Linked DNA regions of Drosophila melanogaster. The protein of the gene in region 3 interacts with the protein of the main gene of each other region in a pairwise test. Each region holds a gene or a part of one and is shown on either strand. Other genes may lie near its edges.

Evidence for each region.
Region 1: the proteins of Snp (region 3) and Rint1 interact in a two-hybrid assay, tested with the Drosophila melanogaster proteins (one large-scale study listed by BioGRID).
Region 2: the proteins of Snp (region 3) and CG11164 interact in a two-hybrid assay, tested with the Drosophila melanogaster proteins (one large-scale study listed by BioGRID).
Region 4: the proteins of Snp (region 3) and oc interact in a two-hybrid assay, tested with the Drosophila melanogaster proteins (one large-scale study listed by BioGRID).

The regions. Positions count from the first base shown.
Region 1 is NT_037436.4:7,322,078-7,326,803, reverse strand, and holds Rint1 (RAD50 interactor 1), read right to left. Parts: upstream 3,186-4,726; 5' UTR 3,077-3,185; coding exon 2,936-3,076; intron 2,881-2,935; coding exon 2,053-2,880; intron 1,995-2,052; coding exon 1,769-1,994; intron 1,715-1,768; coding exon 922-1,714; intron 846-921; coding exon 659-845; 3' UTR 549-658; downstream 1-548. Other genes in the region: RhoGEF4 (Rho guanine nucleotide exchange factor 4), read left to right, coding at 3,494-3,626, 3,692-4,249, 4,307-4,726. UniProt on the Drosophila melanogaster protein: During cytokinesis in male meiotic cells, required for completion of cleavage furrow ingression possibly in conjunction with Zw10. Required for maintenance of Golgi stack number and morphology. Essential for acroblast assembly.
Region 2 is NC_004354.4:13,666,139-13,670,132, reverse strand, and holds CG11164 (uncharacterized protein), read right to left. Parts: upstream 2,120-3,994; 5' UTR 2,047-2,119; coding exon 1,686-2,046; intron 1,614-1,685; coding exon 952-1,613; 3' UTR 560-951; downstream 1-559. Other genes in the region: DNAlig4 (DNA ligase 4), read left to right, coding at 2,393-2,705, 2,773-2,937, 2,997-3,907, 3,970-3,994.
Region 3 is NT_033778.4:22,059,385-22,063,981, forward strand, and holds the start of Snp (snipper), read left to right. Parts: upstream 1-1,565; 5' UTR 1,566-2,174; coding exon 2,175-2,197; intron 2,198-4,597. Other genes in the region: CG13501 (uncharacterized protein), read right to left, coding at 1-475, 528-677, 728-810, 875-1,121, 1,180-1,276. UniProt on the Drosophila melanogaster protein: A broad-specificity exonuclease, capable of degrading both structure-specific DNA and RNA targets without sequence specificity in vitro. Requires two to five unpaired nucleotides in the 3' region for efficient binding and nuclease activity.
Region 4 is NC_004354.4:8,647,680-8,652,425, forward strand, and holds the start of oc (ocelliless), read right to left. Parts: upstream 3,003-4,746; 5' UTR 2,696-3,002; exon of another isoform or gene 2,415-2,695; intron 1-2,414. UniProt on the Drosophila melanogaster protein: Transcriptional regulator involved in pattern formation and cell determination in the embryonic CNS and larval imaginal disks.

The DNA.
Region 1 (4,726 bases), on a different chromosome or scaffold from region 3:
AATGCGCCTTGGTCCGTTCCACGATGTGATGATGATGTGTGATGTGCGTCTCGAGTCGCAAATTGGTATTTACTAACTGCAATTGTTTGTCATCCGACGATAGGGATATACAATACGCCCTGATCAGCCATGAATCAGTATTGATATGCGATTCGAGCCCGATCAGGCCGGTTTATATGCTATTTTACGCTATGTATTTTTAGATCAATTTATTATTAAAGTTAAAGTTACCGCATGTTTTTGTGTCAACGTTTTACAAATTAAACCAAACATTGAGACCACAATTCCAACTAAATGTTTAATTATCACAAAAAACATTCAAGACTTGTGCGCCTAGAGCAACGAATTGCTATTTAATTGTAAATATGTACTCAAAATTATATCTCATTCATACAACTTGGTCGTTTGTTACTAGCATTCGCACGAGTTCGAAACTGTGTCCTGGTTAAATACAAATTAGTTAAATCTCCGTCATGATAACTATGTTTATACACATGCCTTTCTTCAAATAAAATGAATGTAAATTACGATAAACATCTTTTAACTTTCATTTTGGGTGTTAATGATTTTATTTCGCAAAAAAACGGCGTCCGAACGTTGTATATCATTTCAAAAGTTCCTAGGGCCCAATTAACTAGCTTAAATTAATTTCCATCACCTAAAACATCTTTATGTCCATCCTCCGCTCCAGAACCTCAATGCACTGTTTGCTGTCCATGCTGAGCACATGCAGTTCCCTCAGCGGCTTCGTCTTCTCCTCCACCGATTGATTACCACGCAGCGTTTCCAGCAGCAACAAAGCTGTTCCTCGTGCCGCCGCCAGCAGCTTGCAGGCATCGTGTGTTCTGGCGAATCGAATGGAAATGAAAGGTGTCAGATTTATGTTTATTGTGCACCATAGCAAATGTAGAGATGACTCACCGCTTGAAGAGCAGCTCGGGACGACGTGTATACTGTCCAAAGAGCGCGAATAAATTGCGTGTCATGTCATAATTGAATTGCGCTGCTCCCGCAGCTGAGAACTTCGTGTTCATGACCATGCTCTCGAGCATGAAGTCATCGATTTGATGGGCTATCAAACGGAGCGTTTGGGTGAACAGATTGGCGGAGAGTTCCCGTTCCAGATTGTGTAGCAGGGTGACCAGCACCTGGAACATTTCGCCACCACTGGGCGAAAGGATGAACGGCTCCCGGCTGTTTTGTTCGGGCATAGTCGGCCACGCGTCACGGCGATAGCTCATCGATTTCGCCTTCATTTCATTGGTTGCCTTGGTGGCCAGATTCCGCATTAGTTGTCTGGCCCAGTGTTCCAACTCAGCGACGGCATGCTCGAACACTGAATTAATCTCCGTGGCATTTGGACCGGCAAGTGCCGCATGCAGGTGCAGATAATGCACGTTTTCGCCCCATTCACGGAGCACCATTACCAAATAGTTGATGGCATTCAGTATGGGAATGCTTGGCACCGCTCCACTGCTGTGCAGTTGCACCAGGCGTTGTCGGAAGCTATCGATCAGCTCCAGTTGCAGGTGCAGGAACTGCAGCTGGTGGCCCGGTTGAATCAGACCATAGTAACGATCCTTAATGGCGTCCAGCAGTCGCATAAACTGATCCGCACACTTGGGTATTTTCAGATCGTTCTCGAATGAGTTGGGATCGATTAGCTGGAATGGCGTCTCCGCCTGCAGAATGTCATCCATTTTTTCCGCACAAACTAGGTAAGCACATTATTAAATAACAGCAATCGAGGGCAGCGACCATATCTCACATCGTTCTTCCAGTGAAATCCAGCGTAGCAAATACATGGGTTGTGTGATTACAGAAATCGCGCTGGGAAAACTAGCCGGATACCCAAATGTTTCCCGTAACTCGGATTCGAAGGCCAGCGTCTCATCAAGTAGATGGGCAAATAGTATCTGGTCCTGGGCAATCTGTTCTATGTCCACCGCCAACTTTTCAATGGCTAACTGCACCAGTCCTCGAATAAACTCCAGCTAAAAGAGTAACACAATTAGAATTTTGAGTGGTCTGGTAAGACACCGAGACACTTACCCTGAGATTGTAGTCCAGCTTACCCGCTTTAATGGCAGCTGGCTGAAATGTTTTGCCTACAAAGAAATGCGTCTCCTTGCCCCAGTTGAGAATTTGCGTATAGAACCACTCGGGCTTGTCTAATCTATTGGTTTGTCTGGTGCCTGTGAAGTGAAATTGGAAACGCTGGCGATACGGCGCCAATAGGAGCTGCACCACCCGGTTGATGGGCTGGCACACGATGCTGGGCGTGATGCTTTGCAGTGGCGCCCGCTCTTCGGCTGGAGATTTGATGAGGAACATGTACTCCGCTAGCAGTTGCGCCTTGGCAGTGTCTCGTGCGGACGAATAGTTAAGGGCCTGCTGTTCTAGATGCGCCCAGCGCATGCTCTTCAGTACAGCCTCGAATGCGCTGGACAGGCGCTTGAGGAGCAGCTTGTGCCAGTAGATGGCAGTGCGTTCGGCAAAGGATTTCAGCGACTGTGCCTGCACAGCATGCAGGCGACCCACTACGCTGTGCTCGCAGTCGTTGCCCTCGTAGAGGGTTAGGTAGATATTAACCAGTTTGTCCTCGTCCTTGCCATTGATGGCATTGCCTAGGGCAGCGCTTATCTCCTGAATGTCCTGCACCAGGAGCAGATACTGTTGCAAACGCTGCAGTTGTCGCACCTTGTCTAAATCCTCTGCCACTCCCTCAAGCACGGGCTGGCACTCCTTTAGCTTTCTTTTCAGCTTGTCCTCGAAGTGAGCCAGCTTTTCCAGCTCGAAGTCGATGCTCTCGCAAACCTGTTGCTGGCATTGGAAGGCGGTTTTGTAGCAGGACACGTTCTGGGGATCCTCGTAGTCGAGCTGTTGAAATATATGGATCAAAATCATGATCTAGATAGATAGATATTCGTCCAACCGTTTGGGACAAAACTTGGAGGTGCTTTTTGTAGTGGCTAACGAGGTGGCTGGCCCGGTGTAGCTGGCTGGCATCCTTTCCGATCTCCTCGTTTAGTCGCGCCACTATGCGCAACTCCATTTCGCTGAGTTCTGCATGCATTTCGGTGCAGCAATAGCTAAAACAACATTTAAATTAAAAGCTAAACGGGCCACGAACCACGTATAAAAAATAAATAATTTAGCCAGTGTGACCATGTCGCAATACAATAGGCTAGACTGGTGCAACGCATACGCGGGCACAAAAGTTTTAAATGAAATTAATTTAATATTACAATTTTTATAAGATCTATAATAACCACAGCCAAGATGAATAGAAAGCTACAAAAATAGACAAGATTATATTATAGTTTGCTTAACTTTTTCTTATTCTTCAATCTCCCCTCGCCAATGCGGTCTTACACTTTCCAGTGTGGCTGCCACTAACAAACGGTAACACTGCAGAAGCGGCATTGTTCAAATTGAACAGGTGTGGCGTCGTTTTCTTTTTGGATCTTCTTTCCAGAAAGTCGATTGGAAAATGTTTACGCCCAGGCAGAAAGGATACGGGAATGGCTTCATTCACTCGCCACAAACACCTCTCAGCTTCAGCCGGGAACTGCGGCAGGTGCTGCAGGAGCGGAATCTTCTAACTGCCAAGTCGCGTAGGAAAGGTGAGCAGCACACAAAGGCGGCGCCAGGTGTTCAACAACTAATTGTGACCATTCGGTTCATGCAGTTTGCTCCATGCTGGACAGCAACAACAGCAGTCCGATTGGCTCCCCCAATCCGGACGCGGGAAAAAGATTGGGTTTCCGTCGCCAGGCCATCCAGGAGATTATTTCGTCGGAGAAATCGTATCTGGAGCAGCTGGAGCTGCTGATGAACTTTTTTGTGCGTCCCTTGAAGGAACAGGCTATCATCGATTGCTCCAATCACACGCTGCTCTTCGGTCAAATCGAGATGATTCACAATCTTAACGGAGAATTCCTGCGCGAACTGGAGGCGAACATGGAGAATGTTGCGCACGCATTCCTGAAAATGGCTCCTTTCTTCAAACTGTACTCGGTGTACGCCTTTGACTACCGCGGAGCTCTGTTCATCATCCAGGATTTGATCAGCAAGAATCCGGTGTTCCGAAAGTTTCTGGAGCAGACCGAGAGTCGTCCGGAGGTGCAACGCAAGCTAAATTCGCTGATGATTGTGCCCATCCAGCGGGTACCGCGGTATAAGCTTCTTCTGGAGCAGGTACTGCTCTACACGAGTCCCGCAGATGCTGACTATAAGTTGTTGAAAGGTATGATCTTGAAGTTAATGTTAATCAGATATCGAATAATTGCGCTCATCCTTACAGAATCCGTCAAGGAGATCGAGGCCACCGCCAGTCACATAAACACCTGTGTGGAGGAGCAGGAAATTACCCAGTATCTGATTCATTTGCAGAACTCTTTGGTGAATCGCACACCGAACATTGTGAAGCCCTCGCGACGGGTAATCAAGGAGGGTGTACTGCAGAAGATCACTCACAAGGGCACGGAAATCAAGCGCTACTGTGTTCTCATGTCCGACATCTTCATGTACTGCAAGATGATCAAGGAACGTGCGCCCAACACCGTTGTGGAAAACTCACTGGAGTGTTGCTGTATTTTTCCGTTGAAAAAATGCAAAGTGTACGAAATGCTGCCGGGCAACTTTAAGCTTACTTGCCAAAGTGATGGCATAATCTTCGGTAGCGGCGATGTGCAGCTGTCGCGCACTTGGGTGGGCTTCATCC
Region 2 (3,994 bases), on a different chromosome or scaffold from region 3:
GCTGCTGCAGAGAAGAGAGAATTTGTTGCTAACTGAGTGCTGCATTGTATTATTTATCTTATGCCACACCAACCACAACACATTCGCACACACACATACACACACACTAAGGCACAAACACCTCGACGACGCCAAAGAAAATTTTCTTTCGTGTGACGCCACTCTTTTCCTTTCTCTGCCTTTCACAATTTAAACTTGAGCACTGGCTTTGGGACACACGGCTAACGGGAAAATTCACTAATGTAACCCCTGTAATTGTTGTTCCGAAAATTCAAGGCATATAGAAAACAACAACAACAACAAGAGCAGGAGTAGCAGGATATTCGGTTGCGGGCGAATGGGTAACGGGGGTGGCGAAATGCGAATCAAGGCGCAAAGCGGAATTCACCGTTAGCCTCGAACGTGGGAGCGCGCACAGCAACAACTGAGCGACAAAAACGGAAACAAAGGAGCCAGCAGCTTTGTAACTGACGGCCAGGATTGCCACCCCGCGCAATGAACTAAGGATTGAAATCATATGTGTTGCATGAATCCCCAAAAATTAATTTCGTTTCTAGTTAGTTTTATTAGTATACTCTGATTTCATATGTTTAATTAGCATTACTTAATATGCTTATATGGTATACCTAAAAAAATATGTCGACTAAGAAACTCTTTATTCGCAACATTTGGCACTGAAGCCTCTAAGTAAACCAATTCCTTAGAAGCCTGGCAACGCCAACAGCTGATGGGGATTTACCAAACGGAATCAAGAGAGATGATCAAACAGCGCATGCGCCAAAAAGGCGCACTTTCAAAATACCAAATTTATGAATACAAATCTTAAAATAACAAAAGTAATTCTTTAAAGTACTATATTCATTGTAAAAAAAAGTGTACATTTGTATTAAATAGAGTATATATATAAAATAAGGAGTTAAAACCTATTCTTAAGATCTGTGAAACGTTAATCTACTTCGCTTTGAAAAACGATGCGATGCTTTTAGTGCCCTTGGCTCCTTTGGCCAGGGCCTTCTCCTTGGCGGTCAGCGAGCGCTCCTTCAGAGGCGCCGCTGTGGGCGATGTGATGGTGGCATTGGGATCGCCATCGCTGTCCACTAGACCGCTGGACTTTAGCTTGGCAGCAGCATCGCTCTCATTTAGCTTGATCTTCTTGGAGTCGCTGCCCTCGTTCTTGCCCGCCACCGACTTGCGCTTCTGAGAAGCTGCTTTCTCCTCAACAATCGCCTGAATCTCGCTAGGAATGTGCAGGTAACTGGTGAGCAAGCCGTGCAGATCCGCATCCAAATACCGTCCCACATAATCGCAAGCCATGCGCGTGTAGTCCATTTCGTTGCTAACGTTCTCAGCTACCAGTTTCTCGCTTCGCACGAAATTCTGCGACTGCGCACTGTGGCCGCAGTGGACTTGCTTCTCCTTCAGGATCTTCGCCACCTGGCGCGTCTTCAGAGCCAACCAAGCCAATGTGCGCTCTTGGTTGTACTTGTAGAACTTCTGTTCGCCAGAGCTCTTCACATCTGCCACGCATTTAAGGTTCCCTGGGTCGAGGATCTCGTTAAGCAGACGACTGGTGCTGGCCTCCTCCACGGCAATGTTGTCCAGCGATATTGCTCCTGATTGTGGTTAAAGATTTTCAAGAATACAATAGTATAGTATACCATCGAAAGCGAATGATAATATCTTACTTTGCGCACAATGTTTTCGGAGGTGATGAAGAGCCAGGAACGTGGGATCCACGGGCGCGGTCATGTAGATTCTGCCGTTGGAGCAGACCTCGCTGTCCACGAACCAACTGCGTCGGGGTTCCGTGAACGCCACCAGCTCCATCATTCTGCCATCGGGATGGGTTATGAACAGTGCCTCCTTGCCATGTCCGGGATGGAAAAACATCTCCAGCCGAAGGTGTCCGTCGTCCGCATCTTTGGGCAGCAGTTCCTCCGACATGAAGAACACCTTCTTCAGTGCCGAGGCCTTGCACATCTTGGCAGATCCCTCCGCATCCGGATCAGCTTTTGGTTTTCTCGCTCGCGTTTCCTTTTTGCCCATTTTCTCGAATAACTTGCCAAGCGTGAAGCAAAAGTCAATAACTGTGGACCGAACCAAAACAAACGATTTGCCGCCTTTTTGGTTATTGATAGAAGTCTATCGATTAATTTTGGTATTTTATATAGTCTGCTAATTTTAACTTGTTCCTATAAACTATTTTATCTATTTTATGCCAAATAGAAGAGCTTAAAAATTAAATAATCTCTGCCACTAACGTCCGCATCTTAATATTGCAACTAGTCTAAAATGGGTATTAACTTTGATTGAGAAGCGCGGTCACATTGCTTGAACAGATGTTCACAGTGATGAAATTGTTTACAACAGTATATTGTTTTTAAACAACAAAATGAGCGTAGATATAGCCAGCACGATCAAGTTCCGGGATATTTGCAGCCTGTTCGAGAAGATTAAGGCCACGCAAAAGGTGGCTAACAAGGAGGAGGTCCTCAAGAGCTACTACGAGTCCTTCTGTCGCCACCGCGAATCCTTTCGCCGGCAAACCGGATTAAACAACGACCAGCCGGAGGACGGTGCCAGTAGCTTCTATTCCGTGCTGCGACTGCTGCTTCCGGGTGCGGACACTGGTCGGGATACCTATGGATTGCAGATCACCGCGCTGGGCAGGCTCTACATCAGGGTGCTCCAGCTACCCACGGACTGTGAGTGCAGAAACGTATTGGCAATGGCATTTAGGCTTATTTAGAATCTCTTTGTTGTCTCTACTAGCCAGCGATGCCATCAGGCTGCAGCACCGCAACGGAAACATGTACCGGGACTACGGTGATGTTGTTTATTCCGTGCTTAAGCCAAGGTGCTTTAATCCGCCCAGCAATTTGAGACTGAAAGAAATCCATCAGATGCTGGACACCATTGCCAACGAGGACACAGAAGGTGGGCGCTTTTAAACTGATCTGAACGACTGAACGTCTTAATGAGACCGCTCTTTGCAGTTAAGCAGCAGCAACTCATCCGGTTTACGGAGCAGGCCTCGCCTGAGGAACAGAAGTGGCTAATTCGGTTGCTGCTTAAGAGCCTCGGGCTGGGGATCGGTGAGCAAAAGATTTTCGGTGTGCTGCACCCCAAGGCGCAGGATATCTACCAGCGCTGCTCCGATCTGGGACATGTGTGCAATCTGCTGGCAGACCGAACCACCGACCTAGACGCCAGCAGCAGCAAGGACAGCAAGGCGGCGGTCAAGTTTGTAAACCTGAATTCCGTCATACGGCCATTCCACCAGATACGTCCCATGCTGTGCGAACGATTCCCCGGTGACATCCAGGAGCTGATGCAGTCGGATGTGCTCTATCTGGAGACCAAAATGGATGGCGAACGCTTTCAGCTGCACATCGATCGGGGTCGTTTCATGTACATTTCCCGCAATGGAGTGGACTACACCAGAAACTTTGGTCACAGCTACGATCACGGCACCTTAACGCCAAAGCTGAGGGGACTTCTGCCGCTGGGTCTGGAGTCTATCATACTCGACGGCGAGATGATGGTGTGGGATACCAACAAACTGCGCTTTCGGGAAAAAGGCGAGAATACGGACGTGAAGAGCCTGAAGCCGGAGGGCAGCTGGCAGCCATGTTTCGTGGTGTACGATCTGCTATATTTTAATGGCCAGAGTCTGCTGGACCATACCTACATTCAGCGGGCGTACAAATTGCAGAAACTCATAGTTGAACAGTCGGGTGTGCTGCAGTTGATGCGTGCACGCAAAATCGGTTCCGTTCAAGAGTTCAACGAGCTGTTCCAGCAGGCACTCGACTCCCACGCCGAGGGCATTGTGCTAAAGAAGCAGGGATCAAGATATCAGCCTGGCGTTAGACTGGGCGGTGGGTGGTACAAGGACAAGGCTGATGTGAGTAGAGTCATTTTTAAGTAGAGTGCTTTAATATGAACTCACTTCAATTTTCCAACCAGTACATCAAAGGGCTGATCACCGAGT
Region 3 (4,597 bases):
TCCGTCGTCGAAGTCATGAGACGACCCACATAACACGGCAGTTGGGTGAACTCCCTGCTGCGCCACAATGCCCGCTTGCTATGGAGCCCATTGAGCAGGGCCAAAGCCGTATATTCCCAGTTCTCCACCTTCTGGCGAGGCAGCAACATTCGCGGATTCTCATCGGGCTGGGCAAAGACGTCGTAAAGCAGCTTTACACCATCCACGGCATCGAAACGCCGCTGACCCTCAGCACAGCAGAGTAGCAGCGCAAATGCCTTGGTGTTCATGTCCCAGAAGTTGGACAAGCGGTTTAGGATCCTCGAGTGCAGCAGCTCGAAGAGGCCCAGCTCGATGCCCCGATCGGGTGCCACTTCCAGCATGTCACACAGGTGATGCCACAAATGCAACGGGAATTGCGGACGGCATGGATCCTGTCTGAAGATCTCGGCTAAGGCGGAAAAGTTTTCAGGATCCTCCAGGAATATACCCAGAACTAGGAAAAAATATAACACCGTTAAATCCAATGAAGTGCATGCAGAGCTCACCTTTTGGCTTGCATGTCAAATTTCGCAATATCTCTGAAGCCAATTCATCCTTAATAGGCTCTTGGTTCTTAATGATTTTATAAAACTCCACCCTTAAGCACTTGCGGTTGGCTATATTTTCGGCTCCATCCAAATTGCGGGATAGTATATCTTTAAGAAATAAAAGCTTATTCTAAGAATTCACACAACCTTCAACTTACTATAAATCCTTAGATACATCTCCACCTCCCGGTGCTCCTCCTTGTGATGCTTCAATCTCATACGCATAAAGGCATTCTTCAACCTATTGGTAGGATAGAAACTGGATGATATCAAAAAAAAAAAACTCCTCAATGCAGACAACCCACTTTCTAACAAGGTCCATTTCAATGATAGCTCTTTGGGCATTCAGTGGATTTAGAACGAATTCCGACAACGATACGACTGCCTTCCAATGGGTCAGCCTAACATCACTATCCAGTTCTTTGAGCAATTTGGGCAGTGCAAACCAGCCGTAGGCCAGTTCAGCACGATCCGCCAGGTGCGTCGAGGTCGAATTGCAGCAGAGCGGCATACACTTGCAAATATTCCGTTTCTCCATATGATGCGTCCACTCTGTAATCCATTTTTTTTATGATTATCCTTCGCTGATTATATATCGCAACTAAATTACCCGTAGTCTGCAAGCTGTTTATGGAGGTCGGCTTCATCACATCCTTGATTTCGTGTTGCAGAAAGTGATTGCGATATCTCGCTAGCTGCTCCCACATTTTGGTTTAATGGTTTGTTGTTATTATAATGAGAAAATACAATACGTGTCAAATGCCAGAACTTTTTTCAAAAATCAACTTCTATTCTACGTTTCAACTTAACATTTCTGTTAGGAAAACTATGTTTCTGTACTGTAAAGCGCCATTGCGGCTGAGAACGTAACCCAATTGGTTGGAAGCTCAACTGCGTGTTGAATATTATGAAAAGGTTCGAAGCTCGGATGCAACAGCTGTTCGTCGCCTGAAATCGATATATCGCAATTTGGTTGATATATTTCGCCGATTCAATGCCGCTGCATTTGTGAACGGACGCCGAGCGAGTTACTACCGAATATTAGATGCGGACTGCAAGCGCAGCTATACGAGAATATACCGACAGGCACGCAAAATATGCAAATACCAGGAGTGCATCTCTATTGACCGGTCAAATACTCGGCTTGGCGGATAGTGCATTTGCAGTTGCAATTTCATCAATCGCCAAATGCACTTGACTGAAAGGCTGTACAAAAAAACAAAGAGAAAAAACCCAGTGTGCGTGCGGGAATATGTAAAAAAAAAACGAGTTAAATAAATAGCTAAATAACAAGCAGAAAGCAGAACGTAAGTATCGAAAAAGCGCAGTGTTTTTGTTGTGCCGGCTGAAATAAATTCGATTGTGTGCGCGCGCGTTTGTTTGTGTGTCGGCATGTGCGTGTGAGTGAGCAGACAACAAAAGGAATTCGGCTCGCTCAACTTCTTCCTAGTTTACCGTTACTTGCACTGCCAAAATCGCAAAAAATAAGGGGAATAGGGAGATAAATAAATAAGCCGACGAATTTCGAATAGCATAAATAGTAGCTCCTGCCAAAAAAAAAAAGAAGAAAAATCAGAGAAACGTCAGTCAAATCGAAAAACAGAAATGGCCTTGATAAAACTAGCAAGGTGAGTTTTTATTCTGTTTTCTCGCTAATATTACCTATAAAGTATGTGTATAGGAATTTTCCCGTTGAAAGTTGTAGTCCACCTTCTCTTTCTTTGCTTTTCCACTTAACAAACCGCAATTAAGTTGGCCAGGGGCGGAGTTTCCACCGAAAGGGGGTTTTTCCAGCACTTGCCCACGTAAATTGATTTTCTGTGGCCCCGTCATCCTGTCGTGCTGACCTGAACTGACCCCATTTTTCATTTCCATTTTCCGACAAAAGAACAAAGTCCGCAGCCTGAAAAATCCGGCCCTGGCCTTTTTTTTTTATTGTTGCCTCTTGGTCAACAGCAAAGCGCTTGAGGCCGTGTAATAACTTTCGGGCAAATATTTATTTCCCAGCAACGAGTTGTTGATATTGAAGTTGGTCAATGCACTTTGGCGCCCCTGAAACGCACTTCAAATATCGCTAAGTGTAATCAGGGACTCGGAAAAACGATGATAACAATAATTAAGCATATTGCAGAATCGTAGATATACATACAATTATATTTATGTATTTCAATTGTATGATAATATGATATACTTAATACCAGTACATTTACATTTACAAAAATAAACATCCTTGTGCTTAGATCCAAATTAATTTCGCATGAAATATTTTCGAAATCTTCATAATACCAGTTTCGCAACCAGATTAAACTACTTTTTAGAACACACAACGAACAATCGAATCTAATTTGAACAAGATCAATTCATAAACTTAAGAACACAGCGAACGTAGGATTATGATAATCTGAATTTCAAATGAACTGCTAATAATAGGAAAACTTACGTGAGGTCTGTGCAATTAATTCTGTTATTGTCTAACAACTAACAATGTATTTGTTTACCTTCTCGATTTCGTTTGTTGACTTTTCCAGCATGTACAACAACTAAACAAACTAGCTATCTGGCTATCGAATTTCCAACGCCATTATATCCACTATCCCCTTCACTATAGACTCCGATATTTATTTATTTGCTGTTTACGTTCGCAAAAAAAAAACCAAACAGTCGCAAATCACACATGATTAAATTAATCAAGCGGCGCACAGGCGTTAAGTTTGCGATCAGTTGATTGATGGCCCGCTGACTGATTGGCCGCGTGCTCAGCAATCAGAATTGGGACTATCCCATACGCCACATACACTTTGCCCGGAGGATCCGAGCTGCACTTGCTGCACTGTGAGTGCCCCACTTCTAATGGTCCGCACATAGTTGGAGCAGTGATTCACCTGACCCATTCCCTGGAAGGGGTTCGGTGGTCCAAAAATAACTCCCAGCCTTTCAGCAATTGAGATCAGAGTTGCTGGGACACGGACTTTGGTAATTGAGTGTAATTGGAAGTGAACACGAGACCACTCACTCCAATCCCCAGATCTCGGTGGCCAGATGACGGATGACAGGCCCAGTGGAAGCTGCAAAAGTGCAGCAGATTGCATCCACAAAGAATGTGTCTGTATCGCGGCCCGATGGCCCCAATATGTCCTCGCCTGACCTGCTAGTTCAATTTGCACATGAAACATACAGTATGTATTCTTCGAGTACCACCACCTCATATATGCATGTTTATATATATATATATATATATATATATATATATATTCATATTTATATGGCTGTGCAGTGGAAACTTTTGTGGACTACAATGAGAATGCAATAAAACTAAAACGGGAGGCTGCATTGATAAAGCGAGTAATCTATATGACGACATGGTCTCGAGTTACTCTGTAAATAGCACCCTGCGCACATGGAGCGTATTTACATACCACATATACATATATGTACGTACATACTATGTATCTGCGTAATCTCGGGCTGTTTGAAAGCCCTATTGTTATACGACTCGTGCTGGCGACTGTTTAATTTAATTATGACTGTTTCATTAATTGAAGTGCGTAGTATTCTATAAATGGAAATCTTGCGGCCGCAATAACAACGCGCATGGGGCATCAAATGAAAGCTTCCAATCAAGATCAGTGCTTTATAACTTTTGTCAATCTTAACTCAGTTCGATTTGTCACTCCACTTCAGCAAAGTCGTAGATCTTCGATTGATAAGCAGTACTTCCTTTGTCTTGGCCAAAATGCACCTGATCGATCAATGGGAGGTCTTGGCCATCCACTCGTGAGTAGACTCAGCTATCTTTGTAAAGTTGCGCAATTTCCAAGCTGGTCGCACATCGAATTCTAGTTCTCATTCCCACACGAAAACCCGTTTAAAAAAACAAACCAACAAACAAATGAGCTAATGTGCTTGAATACGCTTAAGATCGGTTTGAATATACATATAAGATCCGAATTTTGGGTGGTTCTCATATAAATTGTAATGCTATTTACGAATCTAGCTGTTATTAAGTAAAGGATCGCATTATCTATAAT
Region 4 (4,746 bases), on a different chromosome or scaffold from region 3:
AATAGACTAATAGAGTAAAGAGCTCCAGTCGAATCGCAGCACAAACAAAAACAGCAAGAAAAACAACGACAGCGGCTAGAAAAACTTATTATTTGACGCATTGTCAATGTGATCTTGATAAGTCGAAACTGGAAATGGAACCTGAAGACTGAAAACTGAAAACTGAAAAAAAAAATAAACCTCCGTCTGAGTGATTTCTATTTAAATGGCTTTGTCAACGAAATTTGAGAAGCGAATAGCAACAACACCGCCAGTATCGCGTAATGAGCAAAGAGTGAAGAGAGATAAAAATTAATAATACAAATAATTGGTAGGCAAAAAAAAAAATTGGGAGAAAAAAAGTCAGTAAGTGCGTCCAAGTCCAAGAAACGCTGGATGAAATGAAATAAACTGAAACGAAATGAAACCTCACTTAAGGCGAGGCGACGCCACAAGAGATTGACAAAAGATGACGACAAAACAAAAAAAAAAAAAAGGCAACACCCGATCTCCCAGGTACGAGCATATATATCCATACCCATGCCAAGTGTGTGGGAGTTCGAGTTGATCGCAACCAAACCGATCCGAAAGATTTGGGGCGTGCTAGGGAAGCGGAACAATGGATACCGTTTCACAGTGAGCGAAAATATGCCCACATATTAAAATATAACTCAAAAACCACTATGGAATAGGCTAGAACTACTAGTATTGTTCAATACTTAATCAATAGTACAAAATATGGAATGCTAACATATTGATAAATACTATTAGTTGTAATATCTATCACATCATGTCCCACAAGCATATCGAACCAACGTACTTCCAATGAATTCTTGATCTAATGTTTAGCTATGCCATTGCTATGTGAATCTACAACTTCGAGTACTTTTTTTTTCAGTGCTTCCTAGAGCGAAATTCACTTATTCGCTGAGCTTTATGGATATCCGCGATAAGGTATCAAATGTGTCGCGACGCGATCTCGGCGACTTTCAATTCACAATCGACAACGCTGGGCGGATGTTGTGAATGAATGAATTGGCATTGGAAGATTGGTACATTGAGGTATTGTGATACTATGGGGATCTAGGCAGGGCCAGCAAGCACAAGCGTGGGTGGGACCGAATAGATCCCAAGAGATCCCCACCAGCTTCACCAGCTACACCAACTGCACGAACTCCGTATCCGAATCTGAAGCCGAATCCGAATCCCATTCTCAACACTTTGATTCGAATGGAGAAAGACTATCGGAATGGGAGAAAAATGAATCGACTTGCATATTTAATATTCAGTTGCTTTATGTTAGAAAACCATATGCAAATTAATAATAAAGCAGAACAACAAAGTAGCCAGCGAGGAGTCAACGTATTATTCAGATATTTTAATTTATAGCCGCCGCTTTGAAATTAGACGATCCGATCGCTAACATCGGGAAGTGGGAATGTGGTGATGTGGGGATGTTGGGAATATGTGTGAATAATGTGACCCGAACGGGTCCGTCGGCTGTCTTCTATTGTATCTAGTATTGATTTTCTTGGGGTTTCTTCGCCGTTGGCCCTATCATTTTGTTAGCCTTTTTTCTATATCACATTTCTCGTATCGATTTGGTCGGCTCTTGCTGGCTTCTTTTTGTTTTGCCTAATTAGGGGAGGCGGCCTTAATATGCCCATTAAAATTATGAAAATCATAACGAATCTCCGAAACGCGCATTTTCTCACATTACGATCAGCACATTAGTCATAGGCGGAAATTTCCTGACCGAAACCAGATTTTTAAAAAAAAGGCTCCATCATATCACGAAGAGCTGAAGGAACTGAAACAAAGTTTCGGGCATGGAATAGGTAACTCTATTGTTGGACTTGGGAGTCCCCGAAATCAATGAATAGTATTCCAATTAAAGACTTCTAAGATCCATTGAATCTGAAGCTAAATAAAGACTAGTATATGTGGCAAAATAATATCGGTTGATTATAGCATTTGGAAGAACATTTTAACCTTGTAAATATATGTAGAAGTGTAAGTGAAAAACAAAAGATCTGTCAAGTTCGGCTAATCGAAAATAGTGAACCAAACATATTATAACATATCTCTAAAGTCTGAGCTTTATAATGAAGAATGAAGATTGGCTCAAGAATAAAGTTGAAGCGATAACGAAAAAGAAAATAATTAAGCTTTACAGCGTGTTAGATCTTTCAATATTATTCCAAGTTTAAAGAGTGTATTTCAAATATGTCATAGATAATGTAAGACTTGTGACCTAATATCTCTGCTAAATAAACAAGTTGATAAGAGTAATCCCTAAGATAGATTCCCGCTCCCCCAAAAACTACTTAGGTCTACAGATTCCCCATGTAATCCGTGCTTATCTCTCGGCTCCACATTCCTTGCTGGATATATAGATTGCTACCGATTTCTCGATATCGGCGGATCGCACTCACCGAAAAAAAAACACAAACAAAACTAGAAGCAAAACGGTGCTGTATTCCAATGGTGACTTGTTTTCGGATCCAACTACTATATGGTTATGGCATGAGTATATTTTACACATGCATATATATAAAGATATATATGTATATTTATATATATATAAATATTGTATTCCAGAGATGTATGTTTTTTGGGCGATGTTTATGGTTTAGCACTGGCAACACGGTAAAAAAACAGATTCTCGTCACTTGGCACTGCGTTATATCCAAAAGGATATATCTCTCTGTATTACTTAGTATTCTCCTCTGGGGCTCTTTGTTTCTCTATAGCTGTGTTAGCTATAGCTTCTCGTGTTGATATTTGTTTATTTGTGTTTGATTGGTTTAGTTTGCTTCGATTTGATTTGATTCGGTTTGGCGACGGCGAATTGATTGTTGTTATTGGCTTGCGCTGGTGCTTGCTTGCTTATCGGCGAACGCGGCGAGTGGCGAGAGCGATCGAACGAGCGGCGAACGGGGCGAATGAGCAACTGAGCAACTGGGCGACGGACGACGCACAAAAACAACCCGAGCGGCACGAAAGTTACTCTGGAAATGAATTGCGGTACACCTTCCACGGACGATGGCAGCGGCGGCAGCAGCGCAGCGAGCAGCGGGCAGAGCAAAAGTCGTTCGACCAGAGTCTGCGAAAAAAGAAAAACAACAAGAAAAAATGTTGGAAGAAGAAGCAGGAAAAAAACAACAAACAAACACCAGCGGTGGTGGAAACGAGAGGGAGAGCGAGTGAGTGCCTGCTTTTAGCAATGGCTGCCCGGCTCTCTACCGCGCGCCAGAGTGAGATAGCCGTAGTTTCGCTCCGTTCCAGTCGTTCAGTATTTCGCTCTCTCTCTCTCTCTCACTCTCTTGCGGCATCTCTCTCGCACGCCGCTTACAACCTGACTGAGTGGGAGCGAGACAACTGCTGGTGGTACCGTTTGCTGAGCAGCTGTATTTACCGCTGTGTTGTTGCTGCTGCGCGTGTGTGTGCGCGCGTGTATGAGCGTGTGTGTACGTTGCTGGTGTGCGTTTGAGTGTGGGACCACACCCCAAAAAAATTCAGTTCAACAACTTTGTTGTTGCCACAAGAGCAAAAAACGAGGAGCAAAAAATACATAGTCATAAAAGGAGGAAAAAAAAGCAACAACGTACCTTCGTATTTTTGCGCGGCAGCAATGAAATTTTAATGAAAACGACAAGACAGCGAAAACAACGCAAAAATTTGTTAGCTAACAGCGAAAGATAAGGAAACGGGGGTAGGTGGCGACGGGCGTTTAAAGGACGCTGGTCAGTACCGCTACTTTTGCTACTGCTGCTGCTACTGCTGCTACTGCTTCTTCTTTAGCTTCCTCCTCTTCTACTTCTGCGTCGCAAATTGCCATGCACACACAACACCAGCGGCGAAAGCGCGACAGGGATGGGGAGAGCCAGCCACTCACACTTGGCACGCCCCCTCTCTTTCGCCCCAATGGGCGGCCCCCATTGTTCAATTATCATTTACGCAAAGTGAGGCGAAAAGAATCGAAACTTAAGGTGGATTTGGGTTTAAAGTCTAGTTTGCTATTCGTGGGCTAAGAATTGCTCAAAAGAGGTCTTTAATAAATGATTTCAATAGATATAGCTATTATAATTATGATTTAGTTTTGCAAAGCGGTTTTGTTAGTTTTAATTTTCAACTAGCTTATAATTATTAATTAGCTTATTTATAAATTCTCTACCATGGCAGTCTAACTGTAAATGATATTTTCGAGCAACCAACACTTTTTGTGCCCAAACATTTTTTTCTGTTATATTTTTGCCTTGTAGCTGACGCAGGAATAAAAATTCGCAGAGTTGGGTGGTTTGGGGGAGCAGCGGAAAAAACCTTATCAAATTTTTATGACAATTTGAAATAGCTGACGACAGTTGTTTGGCCATCTCACTCGCACTAACGGCCCGCAGGTTTGGGCGGCGAGAAAATGTTGCACAAATATTTTATGGATTTTTCTTGTTGAAATTGCTGTGTGCTTATTATTTTTTTTTTATCCAGCTACCGCACTTTTCCCATTTCCAGGCGGGCAAATTAAATTGTTGCGGCTAATTGATGTGTAGATGAAACATGAGGCAATTACCCTTCGAGGGGAAAAGCTTAGCGCACAAATTGGGACTCGGACACAACGAACGGGAAATCTCGAAAAAAAAATTGTACAGAGAGCCCGAAATGAAATAAAACAAAAACCTAATTTTCATGAAAAATGTTGCGGGGAAATGTAAAATGTTTTTGGAGTAAAATTCACGGAGGCAAAAACTGCGCGCAAATGAAAAAGTT